Astyanax mexicanus: one gene and its partner. The protein of the gene in region 1 binds, or shares a complex with, the protein of each later gene. Links are inferred from orthologs where the notes say so. Each region holds a gene or a part of one and is shown on either strand. Other genes may lie near its edges. The genes, in order: trappc8 and trappc11.

Region 1 (8,944 bases):
AGTGCCGCTGAGCATTAACAGTTTAAAAGGGATTAAAAAAATATATAAAAAATAGAAATAAAAACTGACATTTATTATAGACGAATAAAATATATACGTAAAAAAGGAAAAATAGGACCTTTTAAAAAGATCACAAAAATTGACATAAGGTAAAAAATATATCTTATGAAGATATATATTTAATGATTTGATTAATAAAAGAAGAAAAATAATTAAAATGAATAAAAAATATTAAATATAAACTCATTAAAAATTCGTTTAAAATAACCCAGGCTTTCTGCAGAATAATCAAAGTTTCAGTTAGTTTCAGTTTCAAATCATGAAAACAGCTCACCAAAACCTCAAACTATTCTTTATATTTGACAATATTTACTTACAGGTCCTTTGCTTGTACTTACAGGCCCTTACTTATTTTTATTCAACTGAACTGAGTTTTATATTATCTGTAGCCTCGCTCTGAATTCAGCTCCGCGCTGCGAAAGAGAGCGAGAGAGCGGCGCAGCGCATTTTGTCCGATTTATCTTGATTAATTATCAGTACATTTATTAGCTTTAGTAAGTTTAATAGCATTAATTTTACTACACTTCTCCGACCTTATTTATTAAAACGTTTATTTTAGAAGACAGAGGTTATTCTGCGCGCAATGACGCGCGCAATGCCATGCGCTGCGCTAAGCTGGCTTTGCATGGCTAATATTCTGAAGCACTGGACGAGATTTTAATTAATAAATTAATATATTTATAATTTTAATAAATTTGCCCTGGCGAAAAGGAACGAATTATAAAATATAGCTTTATATATTTCTGTGCATGTTTTAAGTTTTATATAATTGACGGGCAGCACCAGACGCTGACAATGTGCTTTATTTTTCAGATATAATAGCAAAGTGAAATAAAATAAATTTATGTTTGTCAAAGTTATTTTCTCTTTTAATTTATCTTTTCAAAAACTCCAGCTATTGACTGAGAATAAGCATCTGTTGAAATTATTAAACAGCAGAATGCCTGTGTCTGCTACATTAAGCTATAAGTCTGTGTACCGAACATAAATATAAATCCTTATAACTGACAGAAATAAATATGACTAATAATAATTTATAGTTACTGTGCAGATTTTTGGGAAAACAGGTCGTGACGTTAAGAAATCGGCCCGCAAAATAGCTCACACTGTGAGACAAGCGACCAAAATTTCTGGCATGTCAGAAATCCCTGGTCGCGTCCGACTGCTCATTCGCAGCTCGTATGGGCAATTAATCGGACATCGCTTCCCCTCACACACTGCACGACAAACGACGCACGATCAAGCTAAAATTCGGCCCGATCATGAAATTCAGTCGCATTCGACCAGATCGGGCTTAAAATCAGGCTAAAATCGCAGTGTCCGCCTGGCTTAAAACAGCACACAGGAGTATTTGACACTGCACCTTCTATATATCTATGTGCATCTGTGCATGTTACAGCTGCCAAACAAAAAAATGGCCTTTCTCTGTTGTCAACTGTTCCAAAACATTCCTAAATAAATCAAATTACATCAGCAGACGACACACAGGGATGTTCTTGGAGAACACACCCTCTGCGGACCCAAACAGATTGAGTTTTCTTAGAAGTGCTTAAGTACAGTTTCAAAGAATCTCAAAACACACGTCTATTTTTTTTTTTTCAGCATCTAATGAACACAGTTCTCTTTTAGATTTAGAAAGAGGGTCTAACAAGATACTGTGAAGCATCAGCATGGACATAAAAAAAGCTACTGCCAGGCTAAAGGGCAGAACTATACAGAGCACAAGAGGTGCACTGATGGAGCTTTTTGCTACCAAAACAACATGTGAGCCAACTGTCACATGTAAGAACCTTTGTTGCTCTGGTAGTCTAGAAACAACACAGCATAACATGGATTTAAGTATGCGGCCATTCTCCTTAGAAGAGATTTGGCTCTGAAATTAGACAAAACTCAGGTGCGAAAGACATAGACTTACGAGTTTGACAAAATTCCTAAAAGTGGTACTCTAATCTGAATTGATTTCATTGGTTTGGAGATAATCTTTGCATGTAAAACATAGCCAGTGACCCTTAATACAGTATTGTGCATGCGAGGTGGCAGGATGTACTGTCCAAATATTCTTCCATTTCCTTCTCTGGGCTTTGCAAGATCATGGGAAAAAAAAACAAAAAACTGAGATCACATTTCTTGTTATGACAGCGTGGACAATTTCTTCTCAAACACATCTACTACAATTTTTTTAAATTATTTGTAGTATTAGTTAGAGAGCTTAATTCAGAATTTTTTATTGTGTTTTTTTTATGGAGGCCAACTGCCCTGCACATTTTGGTCCTTTACCTGCCTTAATACACCCACATTACTCAATAACGGGCGTGTTAATCAGCTGTGACAAATTGAATAAGGTGTGTTACTAGCAGGGAAACACTATAAACTGCAGAGCAGTGTGCCCCCAGGACCGGGTTTCAGAAATGTGTGTGTTGGTGAAGAAAGGGAACTGAAGAAACCTCGTCTAGAGATTTCAAAAGTAAAAGAAACACAGAAGCTTCGTTTGAAATTTGTCCATGACGCACAAACACAGCAATATTTAATCAATCCAGCGGCTGCTAAACTGTTCATAATCCCGCTCCTCGTTACTGTTAGAGGAGTGAACTCTGCTCCTCGAGGATTAGCCTGTGTTTATGAGCTAGTTAAGGAGGGTGTAGCCGGGCGCTTAGCTTAGCGGCTAACAGCCGAAAACAGAGCCGGGGTGTTCAGCCCGCTGCTGCTGCTGGAGCTCCTGTCGGCCTGAGGCCTTTATTACAGTCGAAACCCAAACAGTCCAGCCGGAGTCATTAAAGGGAAATGTGTCATTTGATCCGGGTAACCCAATCGCTCAGGTAACCGGTAGACTGAGCGGAACAGACACACAGACCGGGCCCTGAACTGCTCCTCCTGTCAGCTGGCCGACCGGGGGAGCTAGTTAGCAGCCTGCTAGCTAACCTAACTAGCCTTGCTAACTAACTAACTCCGAGTTAAAGCCCGCGGAGCGTCCCAGTGTTTACCGCTGCTCAACAGCCCCTGACACCCCCGCCCGACCTCCACCAGTTAACCCCAAGCTCCTTACCCTCCGAGGGAAGCCGGCAGAAGGGGCGCAGCAGCTCGGGGAAGCTCAGGCTGTTCCTGCGGGTCACTCTCTCCGCCTCCTCGCTGCACAGGACGGCCACCATCGGCACGAACGAGTCCTGGATGAACTCCTGCACAGACTGGGCGCACTGGGCCATGGCGCCGGTCCAGCGGGCAGTCCGAGCGAGAACCGGGGGAGCAGACGAGCCGGGCGCGGGAGTGTCACCGAGAACAGAGGAGCCGCTACAGAGTTAAAAACAAGTCCCTCTACTGACAGCCCGCAGCAGCCATGATGGACTCTACAGTCCCCCCTGCTGACCGATTTAACTCCCGTCGAGCACCACGCCTGTCAGGTGATACCAGACAGGCAGCCTAAACACGTCCCTTCAAAATAAAAGTCTTAATGCGGTCTGTAGAGGAGGGTGAAAAGAGGTAAAACAGAAGAAAGCAAGGGTAATAAAAATAGATTAAATAACTGCGAAACCAGTTGTGAAATATTAATCCATATATTGTGGCGTAAAAGCTACCAAAACGCAGCAATTTAAGGCTTATTATTAATAAAAACACGTTTTTGCACACACGAAAGCTGAAACAGAAAGAACACTAGAGGACGCCCTTGAGCAAGTAATTGTTCAACAGGTTAAAGCATTTTGTAATAATGTACAACTTATAATATAATATATTATATTACTACTAAAATATGCACAGTTTAATCAGGTAAAATGTTACGATTTTTACTAATGGTAACTAATCTGGTTAATGAAAGATAGCAACATTTATATATAAACATAATTTTTACGTCATTAATGTATTAAAATAATGTTGATCTCTGACGTCAGATTTGATATATTTGTGCATATTGATTTTACGTTTATTTCAACATTGTTTCAACTGTCTGGTTTTAAATGTATTATTTGTATTAAAGTTTAGTAACAGTCTACAAAAATGTGAGAAAAGCTATATAATGTTATATATATTGTTTGTATTGTATTCTTTTATCCGGTACTGTAGTCTAGCTATGTAAAAACACATTAAAATAATAATTACTAACATTATTTTTTTTTATTTGTGGTAAGCACATTTTACATAAAAGCATTGTGGATGTAGAAGAGCTCAGCCAACCACTCAAAAACTTTAATTATTTAAAGTTAACATTTTATAAAATAATTGAATTACTAACTGATGCCTATGAGGCGATGTGAAACAAAAACTTGTTTTAAGATTGTTTTTCCATCCTTAATCTTAAAAGATGTAATGCAACCAGAAAATCAACCTTCTTTGCTCTGCTCTCAAAATAAAGGATCTCATGCAATAATCATTAGGTATGAAATATTTCTTCATACCTTTTATAAAGAGAGATTTTTTTTTTTTATGAACATCTTATAACAGTCCGTAAACGAAATGAACAATTAAATAGTTTGTAGCTTTGAAATAAATTGAATTCAAATTAATAATATATAAGTAATGAAAAAATTAAAATTAAAACAAGGGGTTAGCATACATTATATGAATTCAAATATGTTTTATACGTTGGGCATTATTTATGGTTATTTTTCGTTGCTTGTGTGGCAAATTGCTTTTCGTCGTTCTGCTTGTCTCGTTGGGCTTTCCGTAGTTATGTTTTTAGCGGCGGGTAGTAGAGAAGCCGGGCTGCTCAGCCCGCACACTGCGTGTTATTTATTTATTTCACTGGATTAATAATAAGTGTTCAGCTTTTTCTGATAAAATCAGCGCGTGTGGGGATTATAGAGCTCAAGTCCAAGTCACCCTGATTACAGTTAATGATCTTTATTGAGCGTTCGAGTGAGTAATCGTAACATTTACAACGTTAGTTAGGTAGCTAGGTCTTAAGTGCTGTTTACAGCGGTACTGAGCTAGGCTAGCTAACATGCTAGTTAGTTGGACAGGTGTTTATTTAACTAACTGTTTACTGAGACTTTCTTTACACAGTTCAGTTAACCTGGCTGACCAGCTCGCGAGAGGTGTAGCTAGTTAACTATATTGCTTTACATCAGTAGACATTTCTAGTTGTTTTAACTAGCTTCTTTGTCACAGACTAGCTAGCTCGTTGATTGGCTGTCACTTGGAGAGAGCTCGTTTTTACCTCCAAAAAATGTAACACTGTAGACAGCTTCTCTTACCTCATATTCTATTGCCTCGGTTTCCAGTCACTTACTAATGAATTGCTAACGTATAGTAAATACTATAAAACATTGGATACATTTGACAGATAGGTCTAGCATTCTCCAGTAGCTAAATCATAACAAAGATATATTTTCCACAACAGTTTAATGATTCTGTTTGGTCAAGCTTAGATAAACTAATGGTTCATCAAAAACTCAGTATTGCCCTTTATTACAAAGTGTATTTGGTCACATGTTTGGTGCTTGAACATTGCTTCTTGTTTTTGTACTCATGCTACAAAGCCAGTATAGATTTCCACTTCGTTTTAGCCACATGTAGCACATTCTTGTAGCTCCAGTGCAAAACTAGACAATCTCTGAAGAAATTATTTTGCTCAAACCTGGAGAAATTGCATACACTGGTTATTTATTTATGTTTGTTTGACGATTCATTCAGTAAATGATGTCCCTTTAATCTAAGCATTGTTTTTTTTCCATCCTCAGGTTTGGAAACGAAAGGGCTTCACAATGCCTGCTTTCCGACAAGTGGGGGAGAAGCAGCTGCCAAACCCAGTTCTGTACATGGCCTGGTCTCCTAAAAGGGACCTCATCGCTTTGGTCAACACAGCTGGTGAGGTGAGGAAAAAGTTTCTGTACTCTCCACAGTGAGGGTCAATAGTTTCTCCACAAAATAGAACTACATTACCTTTAAAAACAACTCGTGTATCAGCGATTAAACTTAAGTTTAAAATGGATTTGACCTCTGGTGAAACATGTCAACAAGTATGAACCTTTGTGGAATAACCCACCTCTGTTCCCCCTCTGAAATACAGAGCTTGTAGCCAATGCTCCAACAGGCTTACAGAGTTCTCAGTGCCTCATTTAAATGTAAAGCTTCTCAGATTTCTTCCAATAAAGTGTGGAGCTATTTTGAATTTGTTAATGGTGTAAAAATATCTTTGCATGGGCAACACTATCCTCCTATCACTAGCATTGTAAGCCTGTTGGGACCATCAAGTAGAAGCGTTGTATTTTGGAATGTTGGGGGTAAATAGAGGTTTGTTAATTGACACAAGTTCTTACTCATTTTTGGAGTGCATTGTAGTGTATGTTTTACTGCACACCAAGTCCATTTAACGTTGGATTTCACATTTAATTACAAGACACATAGGAAAAAAATCTATAACAAAACTACACTTTTTAAATTAAAATAATTAATTAAAATGACAGAACAGACTCATAGAATTAAGTTACAATTGCAATAGATACTTAACATATTATTAATTATAAATGTTATTAATGTTAATACCTTATTTATTGCTAAAAATTAAAGGGGAATTTTACGCTAAATGTTTTGTGGAAAAGACACAAGTCAACTATTTATATGTATATGAACTAAGTGTGTTTTGCTATGTAATATTTAACACCAGAGAAATATAGATTTCTCACAGTAGTGATTACAGGAACCAGCCATCCAACGAACTAAATTTTCCTAAAAGCTTACTCACAATAAGGTGTTAAAATGGTCATTAAAGAGCTTGTTTTTTCTGCATTTGACCTATGCTGCATTTAGATATATGTTTTACCAAATATTTTTGTACATTACACAGTACAGTATAAAACTCTGTAGTGCTTGTCAGATACTGTACAACACCATTTTAAATCAAACCACTATGAAGTTTTTTTCAACTATTGAACCATGGCAACCATTTATAAAATGGGAAAGAATAATCATTTCAAATATGTCGGTGAAAAAGGCTGGAGAACATGAACAAAGCCTCTAGGAAACATTTTTGGATTTTCTTTAGTTTAGTACACAGACATATATTGCTGAGCGTTTAATAAATACTGTCTGTATCTGAGCTCCAGTTTGTTAACGTTTGGGGTTTAAAATTAATTTCAGCTCCTGCTGCATCGCCTTGCCAACTTTCAGCGTGTGTGGAATTTACCCCCAAGTGAAAATACAGGAAAAGAGATCACATCTTTGGCCTGGAGGCCTGATGGCAAAAGTAAGCCAAAGCTTTCTATGATATTTGAGAATGCTTACTGCCAGAGAATTGACTTAACCCCAAAATAATGAACCTGTATGTTATTGTTGGCAGTCTTGGCATTTAGTCTGGGGGACACAAAGCAGGTGGTCCTGTGTGATGCTGAGAAGGCAGAGATCCTCCACCTGTTTACTGTAGACTACCCCGTGTCTTGCATGCACTGGATGGAAGTGCAGAGTGACAGCAGGTATTATTTTTTTAAATGACACAAAAGAAAGATTGGGATTGTTTTTATAAGTTTGTTTAATCGTTTTCTCTCTTTATTTAAAGTGTATCATCATCGTTCACTGACTCTGAAGACGAGTCCAACCGATTCCTGCCCAAGCTACCAATTTTACCCAAAAGGTTAGTTCAGCAAAGGTGTAATTCATTGCTGATATGTGTTAAAGATTGTGTACTAGAATAGAATGGACACAGGAAACTGACTGCTACAAATGTAAATAAATAAATAAAGGGTGTTCAAGATCATGCATTGGAGAACAGGTTCCAGGTCATCCATAAAACAAATAATAAAAAAGGTATAATAACTCAGCCACACTAGATGCAAATTACAGTATTTTGTTGTTTTGTTTCCTGCCCTTATGGGCTGCTGTAAAGTAGCTGCTTATTAGTTTGAGGTCACCATGTCCAATGCTGAATGTCAGCCAGAGGGGTAAAGGGCCTTCAGCAGTGGAGAATAGAGCAGAGGAAAAGTGTCCTCTGCATTAATAGAGTTATGGCAAATACCATTTGGATGAGCCAAAGTGAAGTTTGTAATCTAGAACTAATTATTCAGTCTATAGTCAAATGTGTCAAAAAGAAAGAAAATCCTGTCTGGCAAAGTTAGTTTTGTATTTTAATACAAATCCATATATTATAATATTAACCCATGTTTTGTTTCTGCTCTAGGTTTAGATGATAAAGCCCTAAAATAATATCATGATATTTCATGGTATTTTTGCGATAACGATACTCTTGGTGATGACAAAACACTAAATTAAAAAAAAAGAAAAATTAAATGTTATTATTGCATATGATATGATACTGCACACCCCTAACTGAGATAATACAAATACAATATTTTTTATCAGATTTGTTACAATAGTCAATGATCCAGAATGTCATGATACTAATGATGCATTCCATATATCTCCATATATCCAGGACTGAAGTAAAATTATTGATACTGGACACATATAATCTGTCTCTAGTAGATATATAATGGGAAATGAGAACAGTGTGGATTCCCCTTTTTAGAAAAAAAAAAAGCAAAAAGTAGTAACCTTATGTGATAATTAGGGGTGGCTGATATTTAAGGGTATAATATAGTTGACGATGTTCAAAATTGTTGGCGACACAAAATTGTTGCGTACAATACGATGTGGCACACCCCTACTCTGCACCGTGATTTGCTCTGTGATCTCAACAACAGTGTTTGCACTATGTGTTGCAATTTTTTATTCCTATATTTAGCAAATTTCTATTTTCAAGAAAACAGCAGTGAAACATTTTGGGCATGGTAAATGCAAGTGCGTTTGTGTATGCGTGTGTGTGCAATTAGAAATTGTAAACCCCAGCGTTGTTTGGCACAAAATAATAGATTAATCAGAGATTAAATACAATAAATAATGCGATAAAATCTAAAAAGAAAAAAAAGCTGCACATTTGAAATCACAGTAATTAAAGTCACAA
Region 2 (8,649 bases), on another chromosome or scaffold:
TCTTACAACAGGGAAGACAAACTCAGGTCAGATCGGCTGGAGGCAGCGCTAGCTTCTTTTATGAAGAGTATTTTCTTTGAATTTAATAAAGTTTTCTCTCTTTTTTTTGAAGCATGGTATGGTTTTGTTTTATGTAACTAAAATGTCAGTATATATGTTTATACAGTGTGGCTGAAAATGTATTTGATGGAGCACCTTTATTCCAGAGTCTGCTCCACTGCTCAATGCTTTGACCTTTATATCTATAGACAAGCTGTGTTTATGTGCATAACTATAACTACTATAACTTTAACTACTATGTGCATAACTACTCCAAATCTATATCCAGATCCATTTATCAGTACACAGTACAGGCTGTGTGAGTGTGCACAGTAAAAACAGCTCTTTCTTACCTGAGACACAGTCATTCCAGAGAGGTAGCGCAGAGAGCGGAGGCACGGTACAGCATGTCGTCCAGTCAGTCCAGCACAGAGACGCACACATGCCAGCCCCAGAGAAGCCATGTTTCAGTCCACAAACACACAGCACACAGTTCAGGAACACAGCAGCACAGTCCACATATCAGGAGGCCCCAAAAAGTCAGTGCACACAGCAGAGGCCCAATTCCAATCCCAGTCCAGGGGAATGAGCCGGCAGTCCAACAGCAAAATCACAGCAGCAGTTCCAACATCAATTCAGCGGAAGATGATGAAGACGATGAAGGTGATGAAGATGATGAGCCCAGGTATGGAGGCAGTATCCGCAGCAACAAGCAGGAAGAACAGGAGAAAAGTGGTGAGCAACCCTATCACTAGGGGGCCGCGGCCCACAAGCGAGGCATGAAGCAATGAAGGGAGCAAAACATGAGAGCATGGAGTCAAAATCAACTGGACACTAAAGCTTCTGCTCTGACATTATTATCAGAATAACCACACACTCACATACACACACACACACACACACACACACACACACCTCCTCTCAAATCACTTTAACTTAAAGAAAGACACTTTAAATGAAAATGGCCCAAATGTGAAGCAGAACAAGTGCAAAGACAAAGATAAAAACATGATCTATAAAAAAAATCTCCAAAACTGCAACTTTCCATAAGATAAAAAAAAAACTTCTTCGATGTCAATATATTTAATTCTAGGTAAAGCTGGACAATATATTGATATTTTATTGTATTGAACAGACAAAATGCATATTGATTATATCACTTGTACTTAAAGAACATTGATCCTGACACTGAGTGTGTAAATTCCCGTTAAATTAGATGATGTCCAGCAAAAATTAAATAAGAATCCAATGAACTGTGTACTACGAAAAGCATTTGAATAACAGAACATAAGTATCTGCCATGGCAGATGAAAATATGATTAATACGGTGTATAGTGAAAATGTCTTTAAATATTGTGATACAATTTTTTTTAACATATCATCCAGCTCTATCAGTTTGTGATTACTTACACAAAGGGCTGTGGCTTTCAAACTGTTCATATCGATATCAGAATTGTATCATGCCAAACAAAAATAAGAACTATATTTTAAGTGTTGAGTTTATTGCCATTGTAGGCAAAGAATGTTGCTGTGTATGTGTCAGTGTTTTAGTTGAAGGCTTTTTACTATGCCCCAATCACTGTTTGTTACAATGTCTTATTGTGTGTTTCTTTTTTTTCATGTTGGTACTCGTATGTGTTTTTGTAAGTGTATCACAACCTGTGCTTATGTATAATACATAATGTATTTGGGGTTTATTTGGAAAAATAAATAAAAATGTTTCTAAAACACTTTCTGTATAAAAAATAATTATGCATCTTGCTATTTAGCTTCAGTATAGTCTTCAATATTACATTTACAACATTAAGATAATAAACATAAAGAAAACAGAAACAGAGAAAATGTGTGTCCATTTTTTGACTGGTTGCTAGTAAATAAGTGTTTAAATAATACTTAACTCAAGACAATATGTGCTTTGTTTGTCTACTATGATTTGATGACAGTTCTGGCTCTGATATTGCGTCAGCTTGACCCAGTAAACCATCAATATTTTAACTGTACATAAATAAAGTCTTAAACTACATTACAATAACAAAACATGTGCTAGCTTTGCTTTTGTACACGTGTAGCAACGAAGCTTAACCTGATGCCTTATTGTTTTTACAATAGTTCCGTTCCACCTTAAAATTTACAGCGGTAACATGCGGCACCTGCGACACAATAAGAACGGAAACCTAGGCGGCAACTGTAGCATTTAAGGTGGAACGGACAATTCAAAAAGGCGATTCAAATCTGAAAAATTAACATTAGAAGGCTATTATAAACAGTAAAACAGCCTCTTTAAATGTGAAAACTGAGGCTGCACTGATGATATCTGCTGTCAGCTAAAGAACATGTACAAAAATGCTGATTAATGATACAGAAGGCCACAGAGACCGGCACCAGGTTAGCTTAGCATTAACTAGCACATGTAGAAACACAGGTAAACGAGGCCCGTATTCAGCTCTAATAACAGCAGTATTTAAGCAGCGGCGGCTCGCTCACACTGACCTGATCTTTACTCGCTTTATCGCTCTTCAGTTTCCTCACCACCTCCCCCTGAACTTTAATGGCTTCTTGAATCTGCGCTTTATCCGCCATGGTGCTGCTCTCTCAGCTCCCCGCAGGACCGGTCCCTCACAAAAAACGTCACACACGCACAAACCACGTGTACCCACTAACATAATACTCATGTATAATACTAGTGCATCTAAAAAAAAATAGAATATCATTGAAAAGTTCATTTACTTCAGTAATTCAGTTTAAAATGAGAAACCTATATTGTATATAGATGTCCTACACACAGAGTGATCTATTTAAAGACTTTATTTATTTTATTATTGACGATTATGGCTGACAGCCAATAAAAACACAAAAATCAGTGTCTCAGGAAATTAGAATATTATATAAGATCAATTGGTATTTCTGCAGTGTGGGCAGTGTGCCAAGTCCTGCTGGAAAATGAAATCCGCATCTCCATAAAAGTTGTCAGCAGAGGGAAGCATGAAGTGCAGGAAGATTTTGTGGGAAAACAAAACTGCACTGACTTTGGACTTGATAATAAAACACAGTGGATCAACACCAGCAGATGACATGTCTCTCCAAACCATCACTGATCATCAGTAAATTTTGCACTTCATTTGGAAATCAAGGGAGCAGAGTCTGGAGAAAGAGTGGAGAGACACACAGTTCAAACTGCTTGAGGTCTGGTGTGAAGTTTCCACCAATCAGTGATGGTTGGGAGAGACATGTCATCTGCTGGTGTTTTTTATGTTAAAAATACTATGTTAAAAAAAAAATATATATATTTCTCAATCAAAAAAGGTGGAAGCCTTGTGTGTTTTGTATTTTATTTTATTCTATTTTATGATGTTTTTTTCCATAAGTGATGATATATGTTCCACAGTCATGTAAGGTGTTTATAACGTTTTTTAAATATATAAAACATCAATTTTATAAAGTTGTATTCCTTTTACACAATAAGGGCAGAATTTGCCCTGTTTATCCATCAGAGGGCAGCAATTGCCCCCGTTTGTCCACAATAAGATAGTAATTGCCCTGTTTGCCCAGTAGAGTGCAGTAATTTGGTATTGGCTCTTTCTGCAGCACAAAGCCGCAGATGAAGCGGAGCCAGAGACTCTCTATAGAGAGTAGATTACCCGCTTAATAATGTCTGCTGAGTTTGTTTAAATGAATAAATGCAGTTTAATGCAATTTTTTTCAATTGAGCGAAATCAGAGTTTATTAATGTTTAAAAAATGTATAGTGAAAAATTTGAGTAATTTACAGAGCCCATAAGGTGACATCATGTAAAAAATATATATGATGTGTGGCCATGATTTATTAAAGTGCAGGAATGTGATCCTAACGCATGGAAATGAGATAAGTAAGGCGAGTAAATAAGATAATTAAGTTGTGACCACGACTTATTAAGGTGTGGGAATGAGATCTGAATGTGCGGCCATGACTTATTAGGGTGTGGGAATAAGATCCTAACATGTAGCTATGACTTATTCCCACACATTAATAGGGACGACTAATATAGGTATAACTAATTTCCATGCCTTAATAAGTCGTGGCCATACCTTAATTATCTCGTTGTCGCACCTCAGTTATCTCATTGTCACGCATTAATTATCTTGTTCCCAAGCCTTGATGGGTACGATTTAATTAACTCATTCCCACACCTTAATAAGTTGTTTCCACACATTAGGATCTCCTACACCTTAATTATCTCATTCCCATGCATTAGGATCTCGTTCCCATGCCTTAATTTTTTTGTACCCACACCTTAGGATCTCATTCCCACACCTTAATAAGTCGTGGCCATGCATTTTTTTAACATAATATCACCTTAGGGGCTCCATACTAATTTTCTTAAAACAGAACAATATTAGCTACATGTTTTATCACTGAGCTTTTAAACTCCAGCTATAAACCTTTTATCTCCAGCATCAGCTCACCAACCAGTCAATATACATACAGTAGCAGTAATGCTAGCACTTTTACTGCCTAAAACCCGTTTACTGAAGAAAACCTAAAATATATAAGCAGGATATCTTTGCTCTTTTAGTGAAATGCATCATTGTCATTTACATAATTAAAATAAAATTCTGGAGAAAAGGTTAGTAACTGTTTGAAATTAGAGTTTTAGCCGTTTAGCTTTATTCACCTCCATTCATTTTGGACTCTCTCGCGGGCTCCTCCTAGCGGTTGCAGTGTTTACTGCTATAACAGGGATATGGGGAAGTGGTAGTCTGTCTAGAAACGCCGGTGCTCTGTCATATTGTTCTACCCATCGATATGTGCTACTTACATGCACTGCGCATGCGCTGATACACATTTTCACAGGCTTTTTTTTTTTTACATATAATAATGATTTTCCTTTTTGTCTTTTTCCTTTTCTTTGCTACAATATAATTACAGTCTAAGCTCATAATGTTGTTTAGTTGCGTGATTAAAAATGGTTAATTTGAATTTTTAAATGAAAATACTTATTATTACTGTTATTTTTTTTAGCTATATTATCCACCTAATACAGTGATTTAGCAGGGCTTATATTTAGCTTAAAACGCTCTATTTACTGTTTTATTTCAGCAGCTTTAACTGGATCCACATTGTGGTAGCACGATTCGACGAGGTAGCACATCGCGACACAACACCGGTGGCTGTGGCGGAGGGTCATGGGGTGTGGGCCCGGCTGCTCTGGGAGATAAACACGGATATTAATCAGGGTTTAATGTAAATGAAGTGGATGTAGACGGATTTAACAGACTGCAGCAGTAAAAGGTAACCTGATTAATTATCTCGTCACTGCCTCTAGCTCAGGCTGGTGTGACTCTGCCTCTGTTAGCTACCTCTGTTGATTAGTCTGTGCTGACACTGCTCTAGTTTCTGCAGTTTAACAGGGTTTAAACCTCTCTGTAGTGTTTATCAGTCTTCAGCAGGCTCTGTTTAATAATTCTGCTAAGTTAAAAGCCATAGTGTTAATATTATTAGCTGTATATACGCTGTTTGTGTATCAGGGTGAGCTCAGCTGACAGGAGGCTGGTTAGCTTGCTAAGCTAGCTCGGTGCACTCAGGCTAGGGCCCTCTTACTGTTTACTGTAGCTAAACTCTCTGAAATTTGAGATAATAAAGAAGACCCTGCAGAAAATCACCTCTTATTGTCTCTTTGGCTGCTTAAAATCCACGCAAGTCATTTATTATTGTTTTGTTAGAGTTTTATTGTACATGTTGTGAGTTAGCTAGTTAGTTAGTTAGCTAGCTTAGCTACTGAGTGGCTAGCTAAGCTCTTTTAGCTCTTTCAATCAATTAATCAATCTATATTTTATTTTAAAAGTGCATTTTAGTGTAGCCGAGTATTTGTGAAAAACAGGGATTGACATGACAAAAAATAGTAACTACATCTAATCACTTATTAGTGGAGTTCTTAAAACTACCCAGCTGTTGAGTCCCAATCCCTTTAGTTCCTTTTGCAGTGAGTGTGGAAATGCTCTTACTTTCACTATTAAACATATCCTGAGTTCTAGTTTTATTTTTCTACAATTTGATTTCACCAAACATTTATTTTCATTCAGAACGTTTTTCCTACAGCATTTCTTCCTAGAAGATGATGTTTCCCCACTGTCCTTCCACATTTTATTAATGCATTGGACAGATATTAACCAGATTTTAGTAGTGTCAGCAATCTCCTTATACTGTCCATACACTGCACAACTTTAAAAAGACTCTGAAAAGACTGTAACAGACTAAAGTCTTGACACCCTCTTACATCTAAAGACTAGTCATAGTATTTTACTCACTTGCTAAAACTTTGCTAAGACTGGGGATCACTAACTGCAAGACCGCAACTAATAGATTCTTTCTGAGATTATTTTCCATCATGCTTATGGTGGAGTTTACATACAATACATATTTTATATCATCAGTTTATTTTTCTGTCGCAATGTTAATTCTTGATATTTTTTAATAGAATACATTTTGTTTTTCACTCGTTCTATAAGCTTTTTTTTATTATTATCCCCCCCTTTTTTTTTGCTACAACCTTGTATAGCAAAGAATCACAGTTTCATTGCTATACATTTGCCTTTCTTTTAGATAGAAGTAATGCAATAAAAAACACCAGTCTTGCAGAATGTGTATTTATTGAACGTGTTTGTATCAAAAATTGTACTGCACAATAGATCAAAGTAGTGCAAAATATAATAACTTTCAATATGATGACATTAAAGTGCTACCTGTGCTTAAAAAACTGTACATATTAACTTCAACCCGTAAAATATTCTTGCATTGCGGCTTCCCATGGCTCTCCTATTGGTTGTTGACATTGTTCGAGTCATTATTTGCGTAAGCAAAGTCTCAAAACTTACTGTAATAATGAACAGGGTTGATTTTATTAGAGCTTCAGGACGCGAATCTGACTTACTAAAACTTTTAGTCCTAACCACCTAACACTGAAAGATTGAGATGACGCTAATGCAACTCGACTCTAGCAAGACTCGTGATTTTATCCTGACTCTTAATATTTGGAAATCTTCGACAGTAAAATCGCTTGAAAATCGTTAGGTGTAAGGTCGGCATTATATGTTTTCTCTGCTTGAGGCATGCCAATAATTTGACCCTTCTGAAACAGATTAACATCTTTTCCATGACGTTTATTCAGTAGCAGCATCATAAGTAAAATAATTATTAGTTAATAATTATAAATAAATATTCTGTCATTAATTCTTTATTGCATTATTAGTTTTTTTTTAGTTCCCCTCTTGAACGGCCAGTTCTTGGTAAGATGAGTCCGACGCAGTGGGATCTCCCCCCAGAGCTGTGCTGCAGGCCAATGGCCTTCGTGGCTCTGACCGGTCTGGATGTGGTGTATAACGCAGTGCACAGAGCCATATGGGACGCTTTCTGTGCAAACAGGAGGGCAGACAGGGTGCCCATTTCCTTTAAAGTCCTGCCAGGTGACCACGAGTACCCGAAGTGTAGAACTAAGGTAAGAGTGGATACTTATTCCACCGTGTGCTTATTTTTTAAGTTCATCTATCTTTTGCTTTCATGACAGTGCTGTTCATGTTCTTCCAGAGGACCTCCTACGAGTGGTACATTCCTAAAGGCATCCTGAAGACAGGCTGGATGAATAAACACCTGAACCTGGTGCCTTCTCTGGTGGTGCTGTTCTATGAGCTTGACTGGGACGATGCTCAGTGGAAGGAGAAGCAGTCGGAGTGTGCCACTAAAGTGGAAATTGTCAGGTAGATATTAATCTTATTTGATTTTGTTTTTAGAAATCCAGCTTCATGCCAAACATGAAATACATTATGTATCACCTTAGCTCAGGAAAGGGCTTGTTAATTAGCTAATCAGCTGGATCAGGTGTGTGGGGGGAAACAGTAAACACTAAAATATTATATATACTTAATTAGATATGTGGCAGTTAATATGACCTAGTCAGGGCTAGTCAATATGAATAAAAAACTCATGTCTTGATATGGTTAAGAGGAATGGCAATATACTTAATACAATATGGGATGATAAAAAAAAAAACATTAAAAATGTTAATTTAGTAATTGTAACAACAAAAATAATCAGTTAATATCTAATTGTGTATTTAAGTAATATACATTGTTTATTATACCACGTTTAGATCCAACACTGCAATTTGATTGGCTGAAAGGTGTTCTGTTAGTGCCGTTATCAGCCGGTAATGTGCTGTAATCGAAATTCTCCATGTATTACTCCGCCACATACAGGTAACCTAGCAATGATGCAGCGCCTACAAGCCAAAGAGCGCTGCTACAAACAGAGCAGCAATGGAACCATTTTATCTCACTTAATTTTTTTTAACCAAATTTGTATTAGTACAATCTTGGTTTTATAAATGTATAAAACCAAGATTGTATTTTCTCGTCCTCTTTAACTCAAACTTTAACTTTCAATAAACAGTGATAATGGAACTGTGACATATAGGGTTGCAACGGTATGAGATTTTCACGGTATGATAACCGTCTCAGAAAATACCGCGGTATCACGGTTATCACGGTATCACAGTTTGTTACATATATTATTAAACTGACCCTTAAAGAAATTACAACAAAGGTTTTTTGTTCAATTAACTATTTATTGTAGAAACCT

Evidence for each region.
Region 2: trappc8 (region 1) and trappc11 share a complex: the UniProt entries of both Homo sapiens proteins name them as parts of the multisubunit TRAPP (transport protein particle) complex. The link is inferred for Astyanax mexicanus from reciprocal best matches to the Homo sapiens genes TRAPPC8 and TRAPPC11.

What each region holds. Positions count from the first base shown.
Region 1 is NC_064408.1:65,441,841-65,450,784, reverse strand, and holds the start of trappc8 (trafficking protein particle complex subunit 8), read right to left. Parts: upstream 3,434-8,944; 5' UTR 3,261-3,433; coding exon 3,104-3,260; intron 1-3,103. Other genes in the region: anapc4 (anaphase-promoting complex subunit 4), read left to right, coding at 5,754-5,861, 7,129-7,234, 7,328-7,460, 7,544-7,618. UniProt on the Homo sapiens protein: Plays a role in endoplasmic reticulum to Golgi apparatus trafficking at a very early stage. Maintains together with TBC1D14 the cycling pool of ATG9 required for initiation of autophagy. Involved in collagen secretion.
Region 2 is NC_064409.1:70,910,366-70,919,014, reverse strand, and holds the start of trappc11 (trafficking protein particle complex subunit 11), read left to right. Parts: upstream 1-5,161; 5' UTR 5,162-5,307; intron 5,308-7,264; 5' UTR 7,265-7,306; coding exon 7,307-7,510; intron 7,511-7,599; coding exon 7,600-7,769; intron 7,770-8,649. Other genes in the region: hars (histidine--tRNA ligase), read right to left, coding at 393-503. UniProt on the Homo sapiens protein: Involved in endoplasmic reticulum to Golgi apparatus trafficking at a very early stage.